Linked DNA regions of Sus scrofa. The protein of the gene in region 3 binds, or shares a complex with, the protein of the main gene of each other region. Links are inferred from orthologs where the notes say so. Each region holds a gene or a part of one and is shown on either strand. Other genes may lie near its edges. The genes, in order: SGF29, KAT14, YEATS2, DR1, KAT2A, TADA2A and MBIP.

The links.
Region 1: YEATS2 (region 3) and SGF29 share a complex: the UniProt entries of both Homo sapiens proteins name them as parts of the ADA2A-containing complex. The link is inferred for Sus scrofa from reciprocal best matches to the Homo sapiens genes YEATS2 and SGF29.
Region 2: YEATS2 (region 3) and KAT14 share a complex: the UniProt entries of both Homo sapiens proteins name them as parts of the ADA2A-containing complex. The link is inferred for Sus scrofa from reciprocal best matches to the Homo sapiens genes YEATS2 and KAT14.
Region 4: YEATS2 (region 3) and DR1 share a complex: the UniProt entries of both Homo sapiens proteins name them as parts of the ADA2A-containing complex. The link is inferred for Sus scrofa from reciprocal best matches to the Homo sapiens genes YEATS2 and DR1.
Region 5: YEATS2 (region 3) and KAT2A share a complex: the UniProt entries of both Homo sapiens proteins name them as parts of the ADA2A-containing complex. The link is inferred for Sus scrofa from reciprocal best matches to the Homo sapiens genes YEATS2 and KAT2A.
Region 6: YEATS2 (region 3) and TADA2A share a complex: the UniProt entries of both Homo sapiens proteins name them as parts of the ADA2A-containing complex. The link is inferred for Sus scrofa from reciprocal best matches to the Homo sapiens genes YEATS2 and TADA2A.
Region 7: YEATS2 (region 3) and MBIP share a complex: the UniProt entries of both Homo sapiens proteins name them as parts of the ADA2A-containing complex. The link is inferred for Sus scrofa from reciprocal best matches to the Homo sapiens genes YEATS2 and MBIP.

Annotation. Positions count from the first base shown.
Region 1 is NC_010445.4:18,385,131-18,389,235, reverse strand, and holds the start of SGF29 (SAGA-associated factor 29), read left to right. Parts: upstream 1-1,305; 5' UTR 1,306-1,606; intron 1,607-4,105. UniProt on the Homo sapiens protein: Chromatin reader component of some histone acetyltransferase (HAT) SAGA-type complexes like the TFTC-HAT, ATAC or STAGA complexes.
Region 2 is NC_010459.5:26,498,457-26,501,956, reverse strand, and holds part of KAT14 (cysteine-rich protein 2-binding protein), read right to left. Parts: intron 3,165-3,500; coding exon 2,748-3,164; intron 2,633-2,747; coding exon 2,064-2,632; intron 1-2,063. UniProt on the Homo sapiens protein: Component of the ATAC complex, a complex with histone acetyltransferase activity on histones H3 and H4. May function as a scaffold for the ATAC complex to promote ATAC complex stability. Has also weak histone acetyltransferase activity toward histone H4.
Region 3 is NC_010455.5:121,738,847-121,742,346, forward strand, and holds part of YEATS2 (YEATS domain-containing protein 2), read left to right. Parts: exon of another isoform or gene 1-2,080; coding exon 2,081-2,307; exon of another isoform or gene 2,308-3,119; coding exon 3,120-3,194; exon of another isoform or gene 3,195-3,500. UniProt on the Homo sapiens protein: Chromatin reader component of the ATAC complex, a complex with histone acetyltransferase activity on histones H3 and H4. YEATS2 specifically recognizes and binds histone H3 crotonylated at 'Lys-27' (H3K27cr).
Region 4 is NC_010446.5:123,833,076-123,837,204, reverse strand, and holds the start of DR1 (protein Dr1), read left to right. Parts: upstream 1-1,329; 5' UTR 1,330-2,099; coding exon 2,100-2,319; intron 2,320-4,129. UniProt on the Homo sapiens protein: The association of the DR1/DRAP1 heterodimer with TBP results in a functional repression of both activated and basal transcription of class II genes.
Region 5 is NC_010454.4:20,637,220-20,641,292, reverse strand, and holds the start of KAT2A (histone acetyltransferase KAT2A), read right to left. Parts: upstream 2,801-4,073; 5' UTR 2,726-2,800; coding exon 2,387-2,725; intron 2,248-2,386; coding exon 2,124-2,247; intron 1,809-2,123; coding exon 1,663-1,808; intron 1,554-1,662; coding exon 1,464-1,553; intron 1,174-1,463; coding exon 992-1,173; intron 910-991; coding exon 718-909; intron 1-717. Other genes in the region: HSPB9 (heat shock protein beta-9), read left to right, coding at 3,849-4,073. UniProt on the Homo sapiens protein: Protein lysine acyltransferase that can act as a acetyltransferase, glutaryltransferase, succinyltransferase or malonyltransferase, depending on the context.
Region 6 is NC_010454.4:38,920,156-38,923,655, reverse strand, and holds part of TADA2A (transcriptional adapter 2-alpha), read right to left. Parts: intron 2,439-3,500; coding exon 2,306-2,438; intron 1,599-2,305; coding exon 1,555-1,598; intron 1-1,554. UniProt on the Homo sapiens protein: Component of the ATAC complex, a complex with histone acetyltransferase activity on histones H3 and H4. Required for the function of some acidic activation domains, which activate transcription from a distant site. Binds double-stranded DNA.
Region 7 is NC_010449.5:63,662,223-63,665,722, forward strand, and holds part of MBIP (MAP3K12-binding inhibitory protein 1), read left to right. Parts: intron 1-807; coding exon 808-927; intron 928-2,638; coding exon 2,639-2,863; intron 2,864-2,956; coding exon 2,957-3,053; intron 3,054-3,500. UniProt on the Homo sapiens protein: Inhibits the MAP3K12 activity to induce the activation of the JNK/SAPK pathway. Component of the ATAC complex, a complex with histone acetyltransferase activity on histones H3 and H4.

The DNA.
Region 1 (4,105 bases), on a different chromosome or scaffold from region 3:
CTGATTTGACCCCTAGCCTGGGAATTTCCACATGCCGTGGGTGCAGCCCTAAATAGCAAAAAAAAAAAAAAAAAAAAAAAAAAGAAAGAAAGAAAAAGAAAAAAGATTAATCCAGTGATACATGTTAACTGATACATAGTTATTGCAGGAAACTTCAGAAATTAAAGATAAATTCAAACAAACAAAAAAATTGAGCCCCAGGAGTTCCCTCTTGTTCAGTGGGTTAAGGATCCAGTGTTGTCACTGCTATGCCTCAGGTTACAGCTGTGGTGCAGGTTGGATCCCTGGCTGGGAAACTTCCACATGCCATGGCACAGACACCCCCGCCCCAAAACGAGCCCCAAATCTCCCTTGAGGAGAAAATAAAATTGACATTTGCCATTCAGGAGAAATAGCTTCTGAGACTTCATTTTTTTAAAAAATTTTATTTTATGGCTTCTCCCGCGGCACATGGATGTTCCCAGGCTAGGGGTCCAATTGGAGCTACAGCTGCTGACCTACACCACAGCCACAGCAACACAGGATCAGAGCCGCTACACCACAGCTCATGGCAATGCCTGACCCTTAACCCACTGAGCAAGGCCAGGGATCAAACCTGTGTCTTCACAGATGCTAGTCAGATTAATTTCAGCTGCGCCACTACGGGAACTCCTGAGACTTCAATAAACACGAAAATGCGAACTCCTTGCTTCTGTAAACCCCATAAAACGCAGGATATAGAACTGAGACTGGGTAGATGGTCATGCAACTTACTGAGAGACCACAGAAAGAAGAGTAAGTTTGATGGTAAAAAATGTTGCATTAAGTTTTGGGCTGAAATGGTTTGTGTTGAAGTCTAAGACTCTAATATGAATTTTAAAAAATAGAACGCTTATTATATACCAGCCACTATGGGTGTATATAGGTGAATAAAACAGTGGATCCTAACCTCCCTGAGCAGGCAAGTGTACCAAACAAACGTAAAATTTGGTATGGGTTATGTAAGAGATTACAAGATACTAGGATGTAAACCGTTGTGGTTAAACATTTGCTCACAATGACAATATGTTCCTGACAATACTCTCTAAAAGAATGATATCTGGGTTTACAGATCTGCTTATTTCTATTTATTTTTAACATTTTTTAAATGAACTTTAATTTTTGAAGCAGTTTTAGCTTTCCAGCAAAATTGAAGGAACAAGTACAGAGTTCTCATATGCCCACTGCTCCCCCTTCAATCAACAATCTGCTCGTTTAAAAATTTTTTTATTGTTTCATCGAGGTTTTGGTAATAGGAGTGGATACTGAAAACACGCTCTGGTTGGTTAAAACAAGGTTCAGCTGAAGAGGCGGAAACTCTGTGTCCAAGTAAAAACTACATTTCCCAAGGAGCAGCGCGGCACGGGAAGAGAGCGCACGCGTAGAGAGGAAGACAGCGCACGCGTAGAGAGGGTCTCGCGCTGCTCATAAAAGGGAAAAAGCGTGCGTGGTTCTTGAGCCGCCGCGAATCTTCGAACGTGAGCGCGTTGTTATCCGCAGACTCTGAAAGGCATTCGAGGGAAGACGCGCCTGCTCCCGCCGTCGCAGTTTCCAGCGCGACTTGCTTATTCCACCCGTGGTTCTGTAGGTGGGTATACGTCGTGGTCTGAGGCACTGCTTGGCTCCCCGCACCCCCGCTCGGAGAATGGCGGGAGCGGAGGGCCGGGGGGTCCCTGTTCTCGGGCGTCGCTGAGGCAGCTCTTGAGAGGCAGTGCGCACGCGCCCTGGACCGGGAGAGGCGGGGCGCTGGGAGGGAGGGCTGGCGCCGACCTTCTCTGGTAACTGACTGCGCCTGCGCTCGCCGGCTGGAAGAGGGTGGGAAGCCGCTGCACGTGGAGCTTGGCTCCGTGGCTGGGAGGGGTGGGTACGCACCCCAGGTGCGAGAGAACAAGGGCAGAGGATGGGGCCCGCACTTTGGCAGCTTTCATTATTTGCTGAAGGTGTGCTTAGTTTAACAACCTCATTCTTCATATTCCTCCAGGTGCTTTCTATTTCACTGCAGCCAAAACTTCATTCTCTACTCATTAGCCCCTTTTCTCCTTCAAACACACTCCAGTAAGGCCTTGGCTCTCACCCCTCCACTGAAATGGAAATGCGTGCTTCATTTGCTATGCGGAACATTCTCGTCTTCAGCTTCAGCTCTTTCTGGTTTCTCCTCTGCTGATTCTTGCTCTAACTTACCCTCAGTGGTTGGTTGTACTGCCCCACAGCCTCATCTTTGATCTCTTTTCTGTGCTGTTTCCTAGGCTTTAAATACTCTCTCTTTTTTTTTTTTTTTTGTCTTTTTGCCATTTCTTGGGCCGCTCCCGTGGCATATGGAGGTTCCCAGGCTAGCGGTCTAATCAGAGCTGTAGCCACCGGTCTACGCCAGAGCCACAGCAAACGTGGGATCCGAGCCGCGTCTTCGACCTACACCACAGCTCACGGCAACGCCGGATCCTTCACCCACTGAGCAAGGGCAGGGACTGAACCGGCAATTTCATGGTTCCTAGTCGGTTTTGTTAACCACTGAGCTACGGCGGGAGCTCCTAAATACCATCTCTTGTGTTTAACTCTCAAATTCTTGTCCTCAACTCATTGCTCTACCTGAAATTTTGAGTTTTACCATTCACCTTCTTCAGTTTTCCAATTTTTCAAACACCTTGAGTTATACTAGATGTCTTTTGCTTCCCCTCTGTCCTCTTTCTCCATCAGTCAGTACATGTTTATCTGTTTATATACTTGTTTATGTGGCCACACCCACAGCATTCCTAAGTTCCCAGGCCAGGGATCAAATCTGAGCTGCAACTGCCAGCTAAACAGGATCTTTTAACTCATGGCTCTGGGCTGGAGATAGAACCAGCACCTTGGCAGCAACCTGAGCTGCTGCAGTCAGATTATTGTTTATTTATTTGCTTTTTAGGGCAGCAGGTGTGTCATATGAAAGTTCCTGGACTAGGGATCAAATTGCAATTTCAGGTGCCAGCCTATGCCACAGCCCATGGCAATGCCAGATCCTTAACCCATTGAGCAAGGCTAGGGATCAAACCTGAGTGCTCATGGATACTAGTCTTGTGTTGCCACTGAGCCACAAAGGGAGCTCCCTGTAGTCCGATTCTTAACCCACTGGGAACTCAGACAGTCTCTCTTCAGAGCATGTTAACAGGAACTGATTTGTTTTCCAGGATCAGGGAGAAGATACTGAACAGTCCAGCTTCAGAACTGTTGCAGTGTTTCTAAGTTCAAAGACCGTTTTAGGAGGCCTCCAGGGAGTACCCTGGTGGCCTAGTATTTAAGGAACTGGTACTGTCATTGCCGTGGCTCAGGTTGGATCCCTCTGCAGGTTACAAGTATGGTGTTAAAAAAAAAAAAATTTCCAGGATTCAGTTCAGTTCTGCACTTGCTTTTGAGGACTTAGTAGGTGCCAGGCCCTGTGCTAATTGCTGGGAATATAAAGATGAATAAAAGTGCATCTCTCTCTTTTCAGAGATCTTGGTGTGGCAGGAGAGACAAACAATATGGTAGTCTCTGGGTGCATGTGTGACAAATGCAGGAACAGATGTTTGTGTCCGGTGCTTTAGAAGTTTCTGGAAGTTCTGATTGCCCATGGCATCAGGGCAGATTAGAGGGGCCTGAGACAGCCACATCTCCCTGCCAGTTGTTTCTGGCTAGGAGCAGCTTTGTCCTTGTACCGTAGTATGCCATACAAATACTGTCGTGTTCTCTGTGTGCCCTGGTGTGGAAAAGCTTGGCAGGTAGTGCTGAAAAAGTGTGAATTTTGCTGCCATTTGATTTGGGCCCTGAAAAAATGAGTAAATTTGAGAGATCCAGAGGCAAAAATGGAGAAGGATCGAAGGGCAGACATAACTGAAACATACAGGTCTGCTTGTTTGAGGCAGGGGCCCTGAGTATTTCAATATGGGTATCGTAGGGTAAGGTCAGTAGAGAAGGCTGTTTGAGAGGTGCCATTCAGGATCTGAAGCAGTGCCTTGAGAGTGTTTTGTACACCTCAGTGTCCGTTTTTATGAATACCTCCCCCACCACAAGGCACCCTGTTCTCAGTGGGTAGGTCTATTAGCATCCATAGTTTTAGAGATTAACTTTCTGG
Region 2 (3,500 bases), on a different chromosome or scaffold from region 3:
TCTTCTCAGATGCACCTCTTAGAATCATGACAGTAAAAACAAAAATAAACAAATGGGACCTAATCAAACTTAAAAGTTCCTGCACAGCAAAGGAAACCCTAAACAACACAAAAAGACACCCACAGCATGGGAGAAAATCTTTGCAAATGAATCGACTGACAAGGGATTAATCTCCAAAATTTATAAACACCTTCTGCAGCTCCACACCAAAAAAACAAATAACCCCATCCAAAGATGGGCAGAAGATCTAAACAGACAGTTCTCCAAAGAAGACATACGGATGGCCAAAAAACACATGAAAAGATGTTCAACATCACTCATGATTACAGAAATGCAAATCAAAACCACTATGAGGTACCACCTTATACCAGCCAGAACGGCCATCATCAAAAAGTCTATAACCAATAAGTGCTGCAGAGGGTGTGGAGACAAAGGAACCCTGCTAAAATGTTGGTGGGATTGTAAATTGGTGCAACCACTGTGGAAAACAGTATGGAGATTGCTCAGAAAACTAAAAATAGAACTACCATTTGATCCAGCAATCCCACTCCTGGGCATCTATCCAGAGAAAACCATGACTCACAAAGACACATGTACTCCGATGTTCATGGTAGCACTATTTTCAATAGCCAAGACACGGAAACAACCTAAATGTCCATCGACAGAAGAGTGAATCAAGAAGGTGTGGTACATATACACAACGGAATATTACTCAGCCATTAAAAGGAACGAAATACCGGCATCTTTAGCAACATGGATGGCCATAGAAATTATCATGCTAGGTGAAGTCAGTCATACAATGAGACACCAACATCAAATGCTTTCATTGACATGTGGAATCTGAACTTCTTTGCAGAACAGATACTGACTCACAGACTTTGAAAAACTTATGCTTTCCAAAGGAGATAGTTCGGGGGGTGGGGGATGCACTGGGGTTGTGTGTTGGAAAGCCTATAAAATTGGATTGTGATGATTATTGTACAACTATAAATGTAATAAACTCGGTGAGTAATAAAAAAATAAATTAAAAAAAAATCCAACCTGTGTTAGAACCACACCCACTCACTGTTACCATCTATGCTGATTTCATACCATATGGCAGTGCTGGCCTGCAAAGCCAAAACTGCTTACTATCTGACCCTCTGCAGAAAAGGCTTGCCAACCCCAGGGTCCAACATCCAAATGAGAGGGGTGCTCCTAACAGACGGAGCAGAGCAAAGAGAAGCTAGGAAATTCTGGAACTCAAGAAGGAGCGTTTCATATGGAAAGAGCCATATACCAAAGCCCAGCAGCAGAAAAGAAAAGCCCCACACAGTACATCACTGAACAGCATCAGAACACTGGCAATAAAGACAGGCAATGAGACCAGATCCAACTAGTTCCCAAAGAAGATAGGAAAACGTGAAATAATCAAAATAAGCAATTCTCAGACAACCAGGAAACAGGGAAAATGTTTAACTTCACCTGTAACCAAAGAAACATGAATAAAAAACAAGATTTCATTTTCAGCCATCATATTAGCAAAACAAGTTAATCTGATTAACTGGTTAGTAATAAGCACTGTTCCCGAGAGCACAGACAGGGTTCCACCGAGGTCTTCCAGCCATGCTGACCCTGGCTACTGTTTTCTTAGGGTGTCTCCCGATGACACAGATGTCCACACTCCTTCACTAATGCTCAGCTGTGTCTAGTGCACTGTCCTAACAAACCTGTCAATCAGCGCCATGTACAGCCACCCTCAGCAGCTAAAAGATACAGAGTCTAGGTTCTGTCCAAAATCCCCAAAAGGAAGACAAAAGAACCAAACTCAGATATACTAAGGGACATTGGACAATTAAAAAAAAAATACTGTCCAGCCATTTTTTTTTTTTTTTGGCCACACCCTCAGCATGTGGAAGTTGCTTGCCATAGCAGTGACAATACCAGATCCCTAACCTCAAGGCCACCAGGGAACTCCCAAACCCAGTCATTTCTGTATTTCTCTCTCTTGCTCTGTCCTGCATTCCTGCACGTGCTCCATGGAGCAGCAGCCCCAGGAGTCAGGGAGTGTGGCCAAAACTCACCTGGTACCGGTCAAGGATTCTGAAGTCCTGACAGGTTGTCCTGTATGTGGCTTGTCCAGCTGGAAGCCTGGAAACTCCTCCATCTTTGGCCCCATAAATCCCATCCACTAAGAGAAGCGCCGCATTGACAACCTGATCCAAGTCAAAGAGCGGTAACCCTCGGTCCCGCTTTGCCTGCCTGACGATCAGCTTCCGCTTCAGCCGCCGGGCCTCTGGGGTCATGGCCACGGCACCAGGACAGGCTTCCAGGCGCTTGAGGAGCAGCTTCTCCTCGTAGATGCTCACAGGGGTGAACTTGGGCCCTTTGGGCTTACGGTCCTTCTCCAGCGCCTGCTTCCTCTTCTCTCGAGCCCTCGTTTGCAGGGATGTGTTGGAGTCTGTGTCTTCACTATCAATGTCCATCCTGTCGGGCTTCTCCTCCTCACTTTCCACCTCCTGCTTTATCTGCTCAGGGGCCCTGACCTTCTTTCTGCCCCCGACCCCTGTCCCTGAGGCGGAAGAGCAGGCAGGGGGCGGGACGTACTCCATCCCAGGGTCTATGACGCCGTCGCCTTCCAGCTCATCATCATCTGTGTGCAACAGAAAAGAGGAGGGAAAATGCAGGCCCACCACCCACGAGGGGGAGCGGACCCACTGACATGGAGGCCCACACACAACACAGAACCTGAGAACCGTTGGTCTTACCGTGAAACAAGGCTTGTGGCGGCATCACATCTGGAATCAGATCAGCTTCTGACAGCAGGCTGGGTGTGGCTGAGTGGGAGGCGGGGGTCCCAGGGGCAGAGAAATCCAGAGACGGAGAAGGAGATGGGCTTGTCAGTGGGGTGCGGTCGGAGGAGCTCAGGGAAGAAAAGTCGATCACTTCTCCTTTTTCCAGGATCATATCTGGCCTGCGGCCTCGGCTTACAAATTTTACGGGGGTGGATGAGGTGCTCCGGTCCAGAAAGCCAGCCGCCTCCTTCTGGGCTCTTCTGATGTCCTTTGCTTCCTGAGTCCGAGACCTTTTCTCTTTCAATTCCATGGCAGATTCCACAGGATTCCGACTTGCCCGTTTCCTAAGTCCCTCAACAGTAATGATGGGATCTAAAGTTGGTTTTGAGGCTGCAAGAAAAGAATAAAATATCTATTTTTTTTTTCTTTCTCTTTTTTTTTTTTTTTTTTTTTTTGCTTTTTAGGGCTGAACCTGCAGCTTATGGAAGTTCCCAGGCCAGGGGTCGAACTGGAGCTACAGCTGCCAGTCTATACCACAGCCACAGCCACAAAGGATCTAAGCTGCATCTGTAACCTACACCACAGCTCTCAGCAAAGCCAGATCCCTAACCCACTGAGTGAGGCCAGGGATCGAACCTGCAGCCTCATGGATACTGGTTAGATTCCCTTCTGCTGAGCCACTACAAGAACGCCTGTTTAAAATTCTTTAAAGCTCATTAAAAATTT
Region 3 (3,500 bases):
TGTTACACGCACTCATCTCTCAGCCTCCACAGTTCTTGGGCCTCATCAGCCCCAGCAGTTTTCAAGTGCTCTGTCCTTCAGCTGAAGTGAAGGGACCCGAGGACTCCAGGAGCTGCCTTGGAAAACAGGAGCCTTTGCTAACCTCTGGCCGTGTGTCCCACCTGCCCCCCAGGACACCCCCTACAGAATTACTTGTGCCCAAGTGTCCCAAGTGCTGTGTCCCGGCCAGGCATGTTCCAGCCCATGGCATGCACCAGACACACACCTTTCGTTCAGGAGCTCCCCCTCCTCAGCATCATTTCTCCTTGGAAGACTTTCCTGACCACTTCCTTTCCTCCAGGTAGAAGTAACTTCTTCCTTTGTGACCTTATATTCACCCCCCACATAGACAAGTCTTTGCAGCCTCCTTAAAGATGGAGATGAGGTCTTATCTGTTACTTTCTCTCCAAAACCTAGCTAGGAAGTGTTGGAGGCACAGGTGTGAACAGCTAATAATGTTGCAGATAAAAAGCTTTTTTTTTAGGGCCTCACTCTTGACATATAGAAGTTCCCAGGGTAGAGGGTTGAATGGGAGCTGCAGCTGCCAGCCTATACCACAGTCATAGCCATGCCAGATCCGAGCCATGTCTGTAACCTACACCACAACTCGCAGCAACACTGGATCGTTAACCCACTGAGTGAGGCCAGGGGTCAAACACACATTCTCATGGATACTGGTCAGGTTGGTTTCCCCTGAGCCACAATGGGAACTCCCTGTTGCAGATAAAATGAATTGTTTTATGATAAAGATACAAATAACAGAGCTCTAAGTGGGCAGGTGTCAAGGGGGAGCTATGCATAAAACAAACATGGGGAGAATATTTTGAGTTTCATCTTAAAGAATAAGAAGGGTTGTTTTCTCTTCTCAACCCCATTTCTACAGAAAAACAGGTGCTCCATTCCCCCCGTCTGAGAGAACTAGAAACACAGGGGGGCCTTTAAGACTTAAGTCCCATTTTCTCCATGAAACTTTTCTGAGAACCCAAAGGCAAGGCGACCTCTCTTTTCTCTTATCTGCAGTGACATCTAATGTCAGAACCTTAAGGGTTTGTCAGACTTACATATCTAAGCTCTTTGGCAAGCAGAGACCATGTCCGTACTTCTGTGCTTCACCGGTAGTATACGCAGAACCGGCCCAGGGCTTCTGTTACTGTGGCTGATTAACCTGTGAGTGCCCGGCCTACAGTAGCACAGGATGCCAGGAGCTGGATGCTCTGCCATCACCCTGCGGGGTGCCCTTAACCCCCTCGTGTAGCTGCTCTGGACCTCTTGTTACTTAGCCATAAAGTGAAAGGGGTGCCCTAGAAGATTCCCAGAGCCCCTCCAGGCTTTACAGTTCTTTTTTTTTTTTTTTTTTTTTTTTTTTTTTGGCTTTTTTAGGGCCACACCCATGGCATATGGAGGTTCCCAGACTAAGGGTTGAATCAGAGCTACAGCTGCTGGTCCACACCGCAGCCACAGCTACACCAGATGCTTGACCCACTGAGGGATCACACCCACATCCTGGTGGATACTGGTTGGATTTATTTCCGCTGAGCCACGATGAGAGCTCCCCTGGCTTTACAGTTATAATACTCTTCGTTGGGCTTTGTATAAATCAGCTTATTAAAGATTGGATGCATGGTATACACTAAAATGTTAATAGTACTTATCTCTGAGCAGTGAGAAGAGGGGTGCCTTATAATTTCTCCATTATGCATTTTAAATTGTTCAGATTTAAAATTTGAAAAAAAAAAAATCCGTGGGGTGGGAAGATGACCTCATTTTTGGTGGCGTAAGTCAGAATTGTGTGCTGCTTTGACTTAGGTTGCCCTTAACATCATCACATCTACCTTTACACAAGATGCCTGTCTTGCTGCTTGTCTGCCTTATGACTTCTTAGTTCTCATAATTATAGATCCGTAGAATTTCAGAACTGGAAAGAAGGTCAGCTTCCTTGATACCCTTCTTCTTTGGCTCTCAGGCTGTTGGTCTTTTGGGGAGGGGAAGTCCCTCTCTTTTGTCACCACAGCTGCCATAAGACTGATCACCTCTCATTTAGAGTGCCCATCATCATTCTCCTCTGCTGACAACCTCTGCCGGAAACTGGAAGACCTGCAGCAGTTTCAGAAGAGCGAGCCGGAGAATGAGGAGGAAGTGGACATCCTCAGCCTCTCGGAGCCACTAAAGATAAACATCAAAAAGGAACAGGAAGAGAAACAGGAAGAAATGAAATTCTACCTGCCACCAACGCCAGGCTCTGAATTTATTGGTGACATCACACAGAAGGTAGGGGGTTGAGGCCTGTGCTGCTGGATCCCTCACCAGGTTTGGCCTTAGAACCGACAGCAGACGTTCTGCTGAAGTCTGTGTGGTCTCCTTCTGCCAGTAAACCCAGGCTCTGCTCTGAGCACCTGCCTTCCCACATCAGGGCCCTGAGGCAAGAACACGAATTACATTGTAGATGTTGCTCCTTGAACGTGGAATCGAAGCAAAGGCAGCTAGATACAGGCAGTTTTTTACTTTTCATCTTGTCTCTCGTTTGCCTCAGTAGAAGCATCTGTCCCTCATGAGGTGTGTCATAATGAGCTTTCCCTGACATTGCTAAAGCCCAGGTGCCCTGCCTGGGTGTGGATGTGGCACCCACTGCCCTTACAGGACAGCAGAGAATTACCAGCCCACCCCTGAGGGAACTCGGCTGTGCCTCAGTGTTTGCTTACACTTACAAGAGCAAATGAAAAACGGGGCAGTTTCCAATAATCCCTTCACCACCTTTTGCAAGTAGGGCCTCAGAGTCCGATTCCAGGCTTTACAATGTGTTGACCCCCACCATCAGAATTCATGGCAAATCCTTTATTCTCCCAGCAAGGAGATCTGGGGAGTAAGAGCAGGATTATGATAGCATTTTTAACAATCCCTCAGAAACATGGAGTGACAGAACAGCAAATGGCTCCAGTTGCTATATTCTGTGTTTCTTCTCCATGAGTTTTATCTAGAATGTTTGGAGGGTTATTCTTCCACCCAGATATCCTTGCATATCAGAGGATGTGCTTGTTTTTAATGTAGAAGTAGGAACAAATGGCTTCCTTCTGCTCTTCCAGATTGGAATCACCTTGCAGCCTGTGGCACTTCACAGGAATGTGTATGCGTCGGTGGTGGAGGACATGATTTTAAAGGTGGGTGCCTATGGGCAGCGGAGGGGCTGTGAACTGCCCCAGGGGCTGAAGCAGTGAGGGGCCGGCCGGGCAGGACAGTTTGGATCTCAGGCTACCTTGAGTAAGGGACAAGGACAGAAGTAGAAGATGACAGGCTTTAAGATTCTTTTTTTCCCTGTTTTTTAGGGCCGCACCTGTGGCATGTGGAAGTTCCCACACTAGGGATTGAATCAGAGCTGTAGTTGCCAGCCACAGCCACAGCAACTCAGGATCTGAGCGTGTCTGTGACTGAAACCACAGTTCATGGCAACACCGGAACCTTAACCC
Region 4 (4,129 bases), on a different chromosome or scaffold from region 3:
CTGCAAGTGTACTGGCGAAAATGCTAAATGAAAAATTTTTTTAAAAATGTAATTAAGGTCTCCTAAAGTGCTACACCTAGGATCATACACCAAAAGGTTTTAAGAAAACATTTCAAACAAGCCAGTTGCTGTCCAATCTAAGAACAATTTAGCTGATTAACTAAAGTGCCCAAACTCATGTAAACGGTATCTGGTTTGCCTTTTAGAAATTGCACCTCCCTATTTATAATATAGTCTGCTTCTTCAAAATGACAGTATGGCAAACTTAGCTTTTAGAAATAATGCAATTTTTCTTTTTTTTTTTTTTTTTTTGGTCTTTTTGTTGTTGTTGCTATTTCTTGGGCCGCTCCCGCGGCATATGGAGGTTCCCAGGCTAGGGGTCGAACCGGAGCTGTAGCCACCGGCCTACGCCAGAGACACAGCAACGCGGGATCCGAGCCGCGTCTGCAACCTACACCACAGCGCACGGCAACGCCAGATCGTTAACCCACTGAGCAAGGGCAGGGACCGAACCCGCAACCTCATGGTTCCTAGTCGGATTCGTTAACCACTGCGCCACGACGGGAACTCCTTTTTTTTTTTTTTTTTTTTTTTTTTGGTCTTTTTGTCTGTTGTTGCTATTTCTTGTGCAATTTTTCTTAAGAACTTGATACACGTTTGCAAAAAAAAAAAAAAAATCAGAGCCCACTCTTTTTCGCTTCATCGAAATCCAAAATGTCTAAATCGGAACCTTCTAATCTGGCTCATTGTAGACTAGGCGTTTCCACTACGATGGATCTTATTTCTAGTTTCCAGTTTAGGTATTAGCAGTGACCGCGAGGGAAAGTCACTTTTCTGAATGTTTCCCATAAAACCAGAAAATGGGTGGGGCGCCCGAGTTTCCACCCGAATAACGTCTATGAGGTACTATCCAAAGCGTCTTCCTGTGGACGATACAGACACACCGGGTTCTACTTCCCCCATACTGCACGGCCGAGCCCAGGCCTCCTTCCTCTTCCTTTCAATCTCAATTCGGGCGCTTTAGGATGAGCAACTAGAATTCTTTAAACGAAATCCAGCGCCCCTTTGTCTGCAAACTTGGCTAGGAATGGGTTCCGAGCCTCAGCGGGTTGAGAGGGCAGAGGCGGCTTTCCATCTTCGCCAGTCCACGCAGCCACCCCGGCCCGCGTCCGACGCCTGCCGGGGCGCTCCGGTACCGCGGGGCGCGCGCCCGGCCGCTACGGCCCCGGGAAGGGGCGGGACCCCAAGGCGCGTGCCGGGACCACGGAAAGCGGAAGCAGCTGGCGGGGAGGACGGGCGGTTCCCGCCGGCGCGGGTGGGGGAAGGGCTGCAGCCACACCCGGAAGTCGGGCTGGAGGGGGGGAAAACGTGTGGGGGCGAGACTTCCGGTAGCGCAAAGGGTATCGGGAGAGACTTCCAGCAAACCTTCTTCTGTGGCCTCTGGAGGGACCACCGTTACCGCGTCTTCGGCTTCCACGGTCTGCGTTCGGGCTGAACGGCCACAGCGGCCGCCCCTGCCGCTCGCCTGTGCCGGCTCTGTCCGTCTTCGTTCCCCGGCGGCCGCCCGGGTTCCAGCAGCGGCCGCGGCCGACATGTTGTGAGGCGGCGGCGCCGGTGTCTGAAGGATGGTTTGGCCGAGGCAGCGGCAGCGGCTGCTGGCGGCGGCAGCGGGGGCTCCGGCTCTGTAGAGCCCGGCCCGCTGGGTGTCCGCCCGGTACCGCGGCCAGGCCAGTGCCCCTGGACCTTGCCTCTGCTCCGGCGCCGTTGGGGACCGGTTAGGCGACAGCGCACGCCCCTCTGAGGAGGCACGAAGGTGGTTCTCCGGGCTTAGATTTCCGCACCACCTTGCTTTCCCTCGCTGACCTGGGCGGTGCTGTCCCCAGGATCCTCAGCCCCCAACTTTGTTCCCAGCCTCGCCCTGAATCTCACGCACGCGGGTGTTTCTTGCCCTCTTGACCCCCCCTTTATCTCCTGCACCCTATTCTCAGAGCGCCGCCGGGCTCACTCTCCGAGGCGCCCTTTTGAAAGAAGCTTCGTGGAGTGTGGACCAGAGCTGGGGAGTTTTTTACAAGTCGGGGCACGAGAGGTAGGAAGGTACGATGGCCTCCTCATCTGGCAACGACGATGATCTCACTATACCCAGAGCTGCTATTAATAAGATGATCAAAGAGACTCTGCCCAATGTCCGGGTGGCCAACGATGCCCGGGAGCTGGTGGTGAACTGCTGCACTGAATTCATTCACCTTGTATCTTCTGAAGCCAATGAGATTTGCAACAAATCGGAAAAGAAGACCATCTCGCCAGAGCACGTCATACAAGGTAAGTGGTCTCTGTGGGCTTTTGCTGCCGAAGAGGGGCCGGCCGGGGACGGCGTGCTCGTGGGCGACGCCGTCATGTCCCAGCCCTCAGGCTGGTCCTGGTGGCTTAGTGCTGGTCGCTGACAAGGCCCCGCGGGCGTGGGGGCAGCCGGCGCCTTCACATCCCCGTGGCGGGTTCTCGCCCTTTTCAAGCAGCGGATGGTGGAAGAGCTGCCCAGCGGCGGGGCCAGCTGGCGTGCCCCCGGCTCGAGCGGGAGGGGTGCTCTCAGTTTACAGCCGGGCCAGCCGAAGCGGCAGGAGTTTTGCCTGCCTGCGGTGGAACCCGGACGTGAGGAGCGAGAAGGAGCCTGCGGAAGGGGGACCGAGGGCGTGACAACGGAGAGGAACCCAGAAGCTGTCCCGCGGAGGCTCTGAATGCAGACGGGACCTTCATCCCCACCCGAGCCCTGCCCCAGGGTGGAGGGAAAGACGCGTGTTGAGAACGCGGGGAGAGTGGGAGGAACGTGGATGTTGAGCGCTGCGCGGTGGATTAGGGTTGGATGGAGAGAGTGTCTGTGTTCTCTGCTTTGAAAATGGTCCTGCCGGCCAGCAACAAGTTGCCAGAGCTCTCAAGTTCTATTCTGTAAGAAAAGGCACCCTTTCCTCTCCCTCCTCTCCTTTCCTTCTCTTTCCTTCCTTCCTTCCCTCCCTCCTTCCTTCCTTTTTCTTCTGCAACTTGCTTTGCTTTGTGGCGGTAGCTTTTCCAAGCTTGGATGGAAAGATTGTGAGGTTTTTTTTCGCGGGACATTCCGCTGCCCTTTCCTGCCGTCCTCCCCACTTGGATGTACACACGCAACCTTTTCTTGAGCAGCGCTTCTGGAAGTGTAACAGTTTCTTCTTTCTTCTCTTGGAAAGGATTTAGTTCAGTAATAGAGTTGGGGAACTGTATTCTGATGGTTCGTTTCAAAAATGAAGAGACATTCACTAATTATGTTTTAGGAATTACTTTCTGTGACTTGTACATGTATTCTTATGAAAAGACTGCATTCAATTTGAAGTGAGACTTTACCTTTTATAATAGTCTAATTAAAATTTTTAACAATTTCTTGATTGCTTTTGAAGTAAAAAATCACGGTTAATTTTGGTAGGCAGGTGGTTGTCTACCATTTTATTTTTATAATTCAACTTTTTGAATTATATACAGTTTTATATAAAACTCAACTTTTATATAAAATTCAACTTTTTTTATAATTCGATTTTTTAAAAGGTGACTTTCTTGTTATTCTGAAGTAGAGGACACATCTCATACTTAACCATATGTAGTATTTCACTGTCAATATTGACAAAAGGATTAAATGAGTCACTTTTGATCCTTAATGATGTGTGGAAAGTAGGTTTAAAACATACTCTGCCGTTTCCATTTCAGTACTTCCTTATGGAGGAAGGAAATCCCTAGGGAAAAGTTTATTTGATTTTAAAGCTAGAATATTCTTCTACTTGTTTGGTGTACTCTGGCAAGTAAAATGAAAGCAAAAGTTGTCTGTTTTTCCTCTTGTGTTTTATTTTTACATTGTATGTGCAATTGTTGGCACAAGTCTTTCACAAGATTATTCAACACAGATAGCTATAATTTCGTTTTACAGCTTATAAAAGAGAAAAAGGATCTTTGATCAACATTGCCTTTCCAATGAAAATTGCAAAAGATTTCAGAAGGATCTGCCTAAACACTTGTTTACACCACAGACGTGGTGATCATTCCAAAAATCTAATAACACATCACGATCTGTCTTCTTGGGTAGAGTTTATTCTTTTCTAGGATATATTTAGATATC
Region 5 (4,073 bases), on a different chromosome or scaffold from region 3:
TCTTGAACTGGGTAGCTGCGAGCCAGGTTTAAAATCAAAGGAAGGGAGTTCCTGCCGTGGCTCAGTGGTTAATGAACCCGACTAGTACCCATGAGGACACAGGTTCAATCCCTGGCCCCGCTCAGTGGATTAAGGATCCAGTGTTGCCGTGAGCTGTGGTGCAGGTCGCAGACGCGGCTGGGATCTAGCGTTGCTGTGGCCATGGTGTAGGCCAGTAGCTGCAGACCCCTAGCCTGGGAATTTCCATGTGCCTTGGGTTCGGCCCTAAAAAGACAAAAATAAATACATGAGATCAAGTAAGATAGAATAAAATGAAGGGAAGGTGTGGCAGAAGAGTAAATCTCCCAGGAAGGACTAGTGCAGGGTGGAAGTCGGTTTCACAGGTGTAAGTTCTGGTTTCTTAGAGTGCTGTGGTGAGGATTCTGAGCTGCATCCATGCCCCATGGGAAACAATTAGTCACGTCCATCGGGAGGTGGGTGGGGACAGTATCAGCACCTGGGCCATGCACCTGCCATCCCCAGACCAAGACGTGAAAGGGGAAATAGCTAGCGAGTGGCATCTGGGCCGTGGGTAAGTCGTCAGCCAGAGGCCCAGATCCCAGAAGGCTCATGGAGAGAAAAGAGAGACCAACCCAGGAAGTCTTCCTGGAAAAAGCGGGGGCCACAGGGAGGATGCGAACACGGTGCAAGATCCTGATAGGCCAGAACAAACCTTACTTGGGGAAGTGGGTGAGGATGAGGGTCCTCTTCTCAGGCACCAGCTTGTCCTTCTCCACCCGGAACTTCTCCAGCAGCTGTCGCCGGGTGACGGTGAAGATGGAGCGGAGAAGGCTTCGCCCAAAGACGTGAGTGGTCTCGTACCGGGGGAGGCTGTCGCAGCTCTGGGGCACATGGCAGTAACAGAGCCATCTGTGGTGGTGGTGGGGAGTGGGTTGCTGAGTGAGAGCAGACACCTACAAGCCTCCCCTGCGCCGTCCCTGGCTGGACCTACCTGGTATAATTGACCTTGTAGGTAGCCACGTCCTCGGCCTGAGACCTCTGCCGGAATTGGGCGGGCGTCTCAAGCTTCCAGTAGTTAAGGCAGAGCAGGAACATCTTCGAGAGCTCAAACATCGTCTGCCGCTCCCGGGGAGCCAGGTGACTAAACTTGTACTGCACAAAGTTCAGCACACCCTGAGGAGGTGGGGGCGAGCGGGGGACAAAACAGGGGAGGAGGCGTGAGCCACTGGCAGGGACTTCTGATCCAGAAGTAGGGGGGTGCTTCCTGAGGGCAGAGCGCAAGGCTCTCTGGGGCTCCGGCTCTGGAGGGCCTTCTCTGAGAAATCACACCTCCTCCCACCTTCACACCCACCCTGAAGTTAGCGCAAGGCCTCTTCCTTTCTCTGAACCTGTCCCCTGTCCCCAGCTTGGCTCCCCACTCCTCCATTATACCTCCAACCATCTTACCACCTTCCTTGTCCCACCTGCTCGATATTAGGCTTCTCAAAAGGGGGGCTGCCCAGGGATCCCTCCACCACGGGCCGGGTCATCTGCAGGATGCACTTCCGCAGGAGCTGGAGGAAGAGGAAGAGGGAGGAGTAGAAGTCAGCGGAGCACAGAAAGGCAGACCCCCCCCACCCTCCCTCCTCTGCCCACTCACACTCTTCCTTCAAGGAAGCTCACCTTGAAGAGGTAGAAATAGACCTGCTTGGTGTCCGTGTCCTCCTCCTTATGAACAGACATGAACAGATTCTCCACATCTACCACCATCCCCAGCAGCCGGTTAATCTCATCCTCTGACACATTCTCCAGGTGGGACACGTGGTCAGCTGTAAGGACAAGTGGTGGTTGTGGAAAACTGATAGAAGGGATCGACAGGGCTTCCTGCTCCTCTTCACCACCAGCCAAGACGCATCCTCAGTCCCTCCGACCAGGGTGACCGGCAATGAGACTGCGGGCTCCTGTGTCAGCCCTGGGTGGTCTCTCTTCTGGACTGAGAGATCTCCTTTCTCCTCCCAACCCAATGCCTCCTCAGGAAGCATCTCGGATCTCTCAAAGATGAAGTTGTGTGGCACTTAAGTCATCCTGTCCAAGCAGGACCCAAGACCTCCACCCCCACCCCAGTTCCAAGGGTACTGCCTTACCCAAGGGGTGCTCACAGCTACGGCACAGCTCGCTCAGGTTGGCAGCTGGCTGCTGCAGGTCCATGCGGGGTGCAGTGGGGGGCTTGGGGTTTTTCCAGCCATTGCACTTGCAGGTTTCATTGGCCTGGAGACAGAAGGATCCGTCAATAACCCTGTAACCCCGGGACGAGAAGCGCTCCCCAATCAGAGCTTTGCCCCCTTGCCCACCCGAGCCCTGGGATGCCCCAAGCCCCGCCCCCTCTCGCCCCAGGCCCCGCCCCCACCTTGCAAGCCGAGAAGACCCCTAGCTTCTCAAGCTTCTTGGCGCGCGGCAGCCCCCGGACTTGCGCTTTCCTCTGGCTGGCGCGCTGCTGCTGGCTCAGGCCAGGGCGAGCCGGATCACCCCCGCTCCCGGTACCCCCACTTCCTACCCCGGGCCCCCCAGTCCCTGTGCTCCCGGCTGGGGCTGCAGCTGGGGCGGGGGCTGGTGCCGGAGTGGGAGCCGGAGTCGGGGCCGAAGCAGGGCTGAGAGCAGGAGTCGGAGTTGGGGCGGGGGCTGGGGACTGAAGGGGACGCGGCTGAGCGGCTGGGGCCGGGGTCGAGGCCTGGGAAGGTTCCGCCATGGCCTCCCCCGCTGCGGAGCGCGGCGCGGCGCGGCGCTCCCAGCCCTAGGGCCGCATGGGCAACCGGCGTTCGGTGCGCAGGCGTCGCTACCTTGGAGCATGATGGGAGTTGTAGTCTTTTCACAGCCGCTCTTCGCCTCCAGCTTCCAGACTTTTCTGTCCTCTTTCTTAAATCCGGGACAGCCAAGTGAGGCCCTACCTAGCACCCCAGATGGACTCCTCTAAACTTGTAATCTCTACGGAAGGCTTCCAAGATAGTCTAGATTGCTGTCCTGGTGGGAACAGGGAGAAGCATCCCACAAAGCAGGCTTCTCCGGGGTCTCGCCTCCCAAGCCCGGGAGAGAAGGTGTAGACCTGGAGGGCCTAGAGTCGCTTCGGCTTCTTGCCTCGCTCCCTCCCGTCCCCACACTGACCCTGTCCCGCGTACCTCCGGACGCGGACCTGCAGCTGGGGTGGCGATTAAATAGCAACAATACTATTTCTTGACCTGTGGAGGGGTTACACGAGTGTGTGTTCTCTTTGTGCATTTTTCTGTTTTACTTCAACAAAAAAAGGCTTATCATAAAAGCACTGAGGGCCAGAATAATGGCTGTGGCCCCTCAAAAAACTGCAGAGGTGGGGATGAGGTAGAGGCAGAGGAGGGCCTATGGGTGTGGCTCTCCTCTCACACCGTGGGCACTGGTGCCAGAGCCCAGCTCTGCGCCTGCCACCAGTAGGCCCAGGGTCAGATGAATGAAGGAAACCAGGAAGGTGCGTCCACCTTCCAAACCCTATGTGTCGCAGGATTGTGCATGGTCAGAGATCGGAAGGACATTCCTAGAATGGATGACCCTGTAGTCACACTCTGATGCTCTGTTCAGAGGGCAGGCCCCGCTTGCCCCCAGGCCGGATTCTCGCAAGGGCATGAGCCGGGCGGCTCAATCTCATCTCTGCTCGTGCTGCTGACGGCTCCAGGGTGGGGCTCACAGGCCGCCGGCCTCTTTTGGCCTATCCGTTTGGGTCACAGCCCCGGCAGGCCAGGGCCCTCTGACGGAGTTGGGGAAGGGCCCGAGCAAGGGGCAGGATCCGGGATAAAAGCAGCCGCGGAGGCGTCAGAGCGGTTGCCAACCTGACTCGTGGAGCTATGTGCATAGCTGATCCCAAATTCCGCGGAAGCGAAACTTGCCGGAAGCCAGGGGAGCCCCCTCAACAGAGCAGGCGCCGCGGGAGCGGGAGTGCAGCCGTTCCGGCCCGAGGCCCCCGCTCCCGGGGGCCCCCACGCCCTAGCCGAGCGCTACATTCGGAGCCTCGCGCTCTTCACCAGCAGTTGCTCTCTCGGATGCAGCGGGTCAGTAGCGGTCTCCCCAAC
Region 6 (3,500 bases), on a different chromosome or scaffold from region 3:
GCTGCTCTGCTATGGAACAGGCTTCCCTGTCACATCCACAGAGGGGATGAGTGCCTTACCCTAAAGCCTCAGAAAGGAAGCCCACAGTCATTCCGTGCCTCACCCAAGTGACCAGAGGCTGGGTTAGATCAGGGATCCAGGCTGCCTACTCTGCGTTGCCTTGGGATCAAACAGAGTATGAAGGGAAGCAAGGGATCTCCCAGCTTAATGCAGGGACCAAGGAAAGCTAACACCCGCCCAGGAAGTACAAAGAGTGAGGGTGACTGGTTCAAAAAACACAAATGCCAAAGGTGCACGGTCATGTTTGCTCATTTTTCTTTTGTCTTTTTAGGGCCTTGTCTGTGGCACATGGAGGTTCCTAGGCTAGGGGCCGAATCGGAGCTGTAGCTGCTGGCGTACACCACAGCCACAGCAACACAGGATCTGAGCCGCATCTGCGACCTACACCACAGCTCACGGCAATGCCGGATCCTCAACCCACTGAGCAAGGTCAGGGATTGAACTTGCGTCCTCATGGATGCTAGTCAGATTTGTTTCCATTGAGCCATGACAGAAACATCCCTTCTTCATTCATTTTAATTAGCCAATATTAAATTATCTGTATTTCTGTATTTAGACTGAGGGGAGGGGTGGATGTAAGAAACATATAAAATAAAACTTGGATTTAACTGTTTTGGTTATTCCCTAAAAGACTCTCTTTTAATTACTTGAAACAAAAGGGTAAAAAAAAAAAAAAAAAAAAAAAATCCCTAAAGTGGCCTTTTCTGAGCCCTGTCTAGATCCTGAATCTGAGAGATTTTGAATGGGATCACAAGGTCTGTTGTTCCAACCTTTCAAAAAATGGTAAAACTACAAGTGGGTCAACTTCTGACAAGGGCAGTCTGTCCTCAGTGGAGTGGTCGGCATGTTCAGACTGGGGGACATGGCTAATCTACTATTTGGGGCAGGGGTGAACGATAACCATGAAAACGGGCAGAGAAATAGCACAATCTTGGACCAGAGCTCTACAACTAACACCCCCTTAAACTACCATCCACTGATTACCAGGCACCAAGGATTATCAGACAGCATTTGGCTTAATCCTGCTCTGTACACTAACCTCAAAATAGGACATACCCCAAGAGGTAAAGATAAGAAATACCTTAAGTTTCCAACTTATAAAGAAAATCTTTCTTTTCTGGCAAGTAGCCTGCCCCTTTGCTCACATAAGACAGAGCCTTTAATTGATCCCCTGTGAGACAAATGTCAAAATCTGTGGCAGACAGAACCACAGTAACTAACTGCCCACGAACAATGATAAAATAGAGAAAACACCTGTCTGGAGTTCTTTCTTTCCCTGTCTTTGCAGTCCAAACCTGAGGAAAGGCCCTGTTTGACAATGAAGATTCTAAAATCTTGCTGACGTTCATAAACCAGGATACCACACTTAATCCCCACTCCTCTGCCCAAGCAGCTGGCAGCTCCCACAAAAGCAGAAGGGATTGCTGGGTCACCCTAATTCCCTAGAATGAAAACTTCACAATCAAGGCTTGTTCCAGCCTGAAACATAATTACCTGAATTCGAAGCCATTGGAACAGAAGGACTCAGGCCAGAATCACTACAATGAAGAAGAGGAATTTAAACTTACGTCACATCAAAGAAAGCAATTTCCAAAAGCCCACATGAGACTGAGTGACATTTATTGGGTCAGTTACTCCGAAGAGAAGTAATGAGACAGACGGCTATGCTCTCCAGGATACCTCAACTGAACTACCCAGGAAAGGAAATCGCTCGGATTTGCCAAGAAGACGACCTCTTGGCCTGGCCCATCACGGAGGCCACTCATGGGGAAGGAACAGAAACATGATTCTCCGATGAAAATCATACCAATAAATATAGAGGGAGAAAGAAGGCATGGGGAGAGAATTTACTAATTAAAAAATTAGTTCCCTTGCGGCCCAGCAAGTTAAGGATCCGGCATTGCCGCACCTGCGGCCCAGGCCGCAAATGCACTGCGGGCGGGTTGGATCCCTGGCCTGGGCGTTTCCACATGTCATGGATGGGGAGGGGAGAATCAAAGCAGCAAAGTGGGATTCTAGGAGGCCAGTTATGTTTCTCAAAACTGTCAGTACCATGCTGTTTCTGAGAACTGCTAATATGTTCTGAATTCTGCTAGCTACCCAATTAGGACTGCTCTGCTCTGTCAATTTACAAGAAGAAGGAGGAAATGCTGAAGATCATTCCAACAACAAAGAAATGTCTGAAAATGCAGGGAAGGCCAAAACATCCAAGGGGCTGCTCCTTCACCCGGCGTTAAGCCCTCACATGTCAGCCTGCCGGCGGAGCCACTGCTGGCAGGCACTGCTGTCCTGGATGTACTGGAGGACTTCGGAGAGCATGGTACGTTTGAGGCGCTCCTCTTCTCGGGTCTTCTTGAGGTGATCATAGGTTCTGGCACCTGGAGGTATGAAAAAAACCACCACCACGGTGACCACAATGACAACGGAGCAGAACTAACTGAAGGGCTTCCTAACTGATCAGCAAAGTCTGTCTTTTTAAAATTTCCTTTGCAAAACTGCTTCCACGATTGTTTTCCTAAGAGCAAAGTGATTTCCCCTAGTTTGAAATCCCTTTTCTGACAAGAAATGAAAATATCTTCCTTTTCTACCTTTAAGGGATTTGGGAGGGGGAGGAAAAAAACCCAAACAGAAAAGCACAAAGAGTTGCTTATATCCCTCAAAAAGTAACTTTTAATATTGTCATCTTTACTTCCTGTTCTGTTTTTTCTATCCATGTATTTTGGCGAGTCACACAAGTGCTATATATGTACCCTTCCTTAAAAACCACTCAGAATTACAAATAAAAGCAAACCCTCATTGACCAGTACTATCCTTCCCCCTCTTTCCCAGAGGCAACCAGTATCAGGTAACCAAAACGTGGTATCAGAGTCTTTATATGCATCTTGCTCAACAGCTGCATAGTGTTTTTCATACATTACAAAGGAACACAGGATCCAAAGGACCACACCAGTGGGTTTTCAACCACGTCCCACAGAGCCCCAGGATCCCGTGAACGTCTCTCAGGGATTACTGGGAAGACCACGAGCACCTCCCCATCCTGGTGGTCCTGGGTTCCACACAGGACCTGAACCATCAGACGTCAACCAAAGCAGTCCCATTTTTATCTTATTTACGGATGGGACCTCCACATAAAATTTCATTTTATAAACAGCTTCCATCATTAAAAATAAAGAGCCACTATAGGAGGCCAAACTTACACCCATAGGACCACTTCTTGTGGGCAGCGGGTGACAACTGTCAATTTACAAGAAGAAGGAGGAAATGCTGAAGATCATTCCAACAACAACAAAACAACAGAAACTGCCATTTATGGAGGCTTTACTGTGTGCCAGGTACTGTGCTATGTTTCCATGCATTATCTCTAATCTTCCTATTAACTGCAAGAGACTTGGAAACTGAACGAACAGAATTACAGATGTGGCGAACAGAGTTATAGCTCT
Region 7 (3,500 bases), on a different chromosome or scaffold from region 3:
TCTTGGTAGTTTTCTGTATATAATTTTATTCTCACAGACATAGCCAATTTATAAGAAATTTTCGTGTAATAAGCCCTCACACTGTACAAGTTAGCAGTAAGTCAGGCCTTTCCATCCAGTCTCTGGCCATTTATTTCATTATTATGGATAACTATTAGTTTTTCAGTTTCAGATTTCCACTGCTTAGTAGTAGTTTAATTTTTATTTGAAGTAGATAAACACTTTGTCACTTATCCCTAGACTTTATAATATGTATGAGAAAAAACTTGATTTTTAAATTATTTTAAAAATTTGTTAAAATTGAAAACAAAGTGCGATTCAGAAGATAATCAGAGTAATGATGTATTTCAGTTATGTATTTATGTGCATAGTTAACAATAACAAATGTGCATATCAGAACTTTCAGAAACGTACCTGCCCCCTGTTTAATGCTCTGGCTGGAAGCAGGAGGATTCTGAAAAGGGGCAGCCTATCTTGGCCCCTGTCCAAAGGCTTTGAGATATTGAAGTATCAAAAAGCCTCATCTTTTCATCTTTCACAAATTGTTTTACCTGTAAGATGGTCACATTACACAGACCCACGAATAGAATCGGAGTGAGATGTCAATCTGATTTTTTGGAAAATTGTACTTTTTTTGGCTTTTTAAAGTGGTAACTAGATAGAGCATTTTAATGTATCATTAAAAACTTAAGAACTTTGAGCTGAATAGGTTTGTTAGTCTGTAGAAATCTTGTTTTTCTCTGACAGTCCCTTATGTATACCTTAATCGTGTAATTTTTGTGATGTTGCTGGTTTGCCCCTTTGAAGCTTAACCTCAGAGATGATGTGGTGAAAATTACAATCGATTGGAACAAGCTCCAGAGCCTCTCGGCATTCCAGCCTGCTTTGCTCTTTAGTGCACTTGAGCAACACGTTTTATATTTACAGGTAAATTTCTTGTTAAAAATGTTAACTCGATATTGAGGCTAGAAATTAATTGTAGTTAAATTATAAGCTGGAGTATTTGTCAGTTCTATCTTAACACTATATTGATAGTGTAACTAATAAAAGGTTACTTCAGCCAGATTGGATCCAAGTCTCTTAATTTACATCGTGATAGGACAGTTAGAGGAATACAGCCCAGTAGACTGATGTGGGTATGAAGACTGAGTGAATGCAATTCTATTCAATTCTAGACTTGCTGAAAATTCAATACAGTTGCATCTATGGTGGGTTATAATTAAGCAATAAGACACGGCAGGTGTGTGTCATGCTATGATAATGATTCCATGCCTTGGGTGAGTTTGGAGGCTCATGGAGTGCTTTCAGTGGTTGAAGAAGTGGCATTATCCCAGCATGACACATCCTGGAGTGTCTATTGCAATTAAACAGTTTCAGCATAGTTTTTAAAAAGAAAGTAATTTCTGTGACATTAATGTCTCATATTAGTGAGTAGCCAGTCAGTATTTTATCTTCTCTTTTTCTTAAGAATTTGAAATAATTCATCCTTTATGTTAAAAGTCAACACTGTATTGTTAATTTATAGTAGTATTGCTATATTTTTTAATATTTCAGTTCAATAATTGAGCAGTATTATGAGCTAACTAGTTTCCAATTGAACATCTCTGCAGTTATGATTGATGTAGGTTTGCAGTTTATCTCTAATCAACGTATAAAATATGAAGTGTCAGGTTTGGATTGGTCATTTTTTTGCTATTGAAATGTTATAAAGTTTCAGAAGAGTATTTGGTATAGCAAACAGGGGAAGCAAAATTGTAGCTATGAAAAAATAATTGGAACATTGACAAGTGTTGGTGTGTTTTGATTAACGGAATAGACATTAATTTTCAGTCCTCTGTTCAAGGGTTTTATGGGAAATCTTAACTGTTTCATATTAAAAGTAATAGTTAACCCTAGTTTTAAAAGGTGGAAACAATGAGCTATAGAACTCAACTGAGGCCTAATTGTTGGGGGGAAATAATTCATGTTATACAACAGGGTTCCCTCCCCCCTCCCCCCAGTGTAGTAATAGGCATCTACCTCTTTTTAGCTATGTTCATTTTTTTCAAAAATTTAATTTCATGACCTAAGAAGATATCTTGCCATGTCAGGAAAAGCCTGAGTGTTCACTCAGCATAACACCTATATATTTCATGTCTATGCTCTCTCATTCACTTTGGCCAACTGCAGTTTCAAGTGGAGAATCTCCAGTGATATAGTGATAATGCAGGGCTTTGCTGAGTGAGAGCACTGGCTCTCATGTTAAGGAGGAAAAATACTAAGCCTTAGTGTTCTGAGGAGGCATTTGAATGACATGTTAATTAAGTGGCATTGGTGCCACAGGCTGAGGCTTTGATTTGGCACAAAATAAAAGATGAGTGACAGAATGATTCTTTCAAAGAAAATTTTAAATATCCTCAGTTTTCTTTCTTTTCTTTCCTTTTTTAAAAAAACAGATTTATAGCAAATGATACTGGTCACAGTAGAGAACAACGGCACTTATATGCGGTCAGATCTATGTATGATATGCCAACCTTTTATATTTAGTTAATTGAAATTAAATATTGCCTTTACTTGCAGAAATTTATATAAATATGGTAAATGTATAATTAATTTTGATCAGTTTGAACCTCAGCAGATGGAATTGTGTTCTTCTCAGCCTTTTTTAGCAAAACTTCAGCCTCTAATTAAAGAGGAGAATACAGCTGTTGTTGAAGAGATAGGAAAAACAGAAACAGGGAACAAGAATGAAGTAAATGCCAAATTTCCCATTGGTGACCTACAAGAGGAAGAAAAGCAAAAAGATTGTGATTTAGGAGATATGAAAAAGACACAGATCCATTTTGATCCAGAAGTCGTTCAAATAAAAGCTGGAAAAGCAGAAGTAAGAAGTTGGGTTTGGGGGAGGGGGTGGGGGGAGGTTTTTTTTTTTAACTCATTATGTTTGAATTAAGACATGCATACTTATTGTTTGTAGATTGACAGACGAATATCTGCGTTTATTGAAAGAAAGCAAGCTGAAATCAATGAAAACAACGTCAGGGAATTTTGCAATGTTATTGATTGTAATCAAGGTAACTATCTAGAAGTTAATTTTCGCAGGATTTTAATGATCTTTCATTTGTTCTCAATGAATAATATTAAGGACACGGTTTAATTTATTTCACAGGTTTATTTGGAAACTAAAGCAGCAGAATTTCCTTCTGTTTAATAATAGACTATATTGCAGACTTTGTTGCAAAATGGTTTTCCTCTTGGTTATGCAAAAGTCAAATAAATGCTAACATTAAAAGGCTCGTATTTACCACAGGTGAAAAAATTGTTTTAAAGTTCCTTCCAGAAATGAAGTGTGGGTGGCAAGGCTAGTCAGTCTCACTAGTAGCAAGGACCTAAGCTGTATTAATTTCAAGTCTGTAAAGGTTTTAGGAAATTATGATGTTAATACATGAAGTAAACTTAGTAAAGTTAATACTCCTCAAGAGGGAGCAATTTTCTTACTACTCCTTAGCTGTTTGAAATGT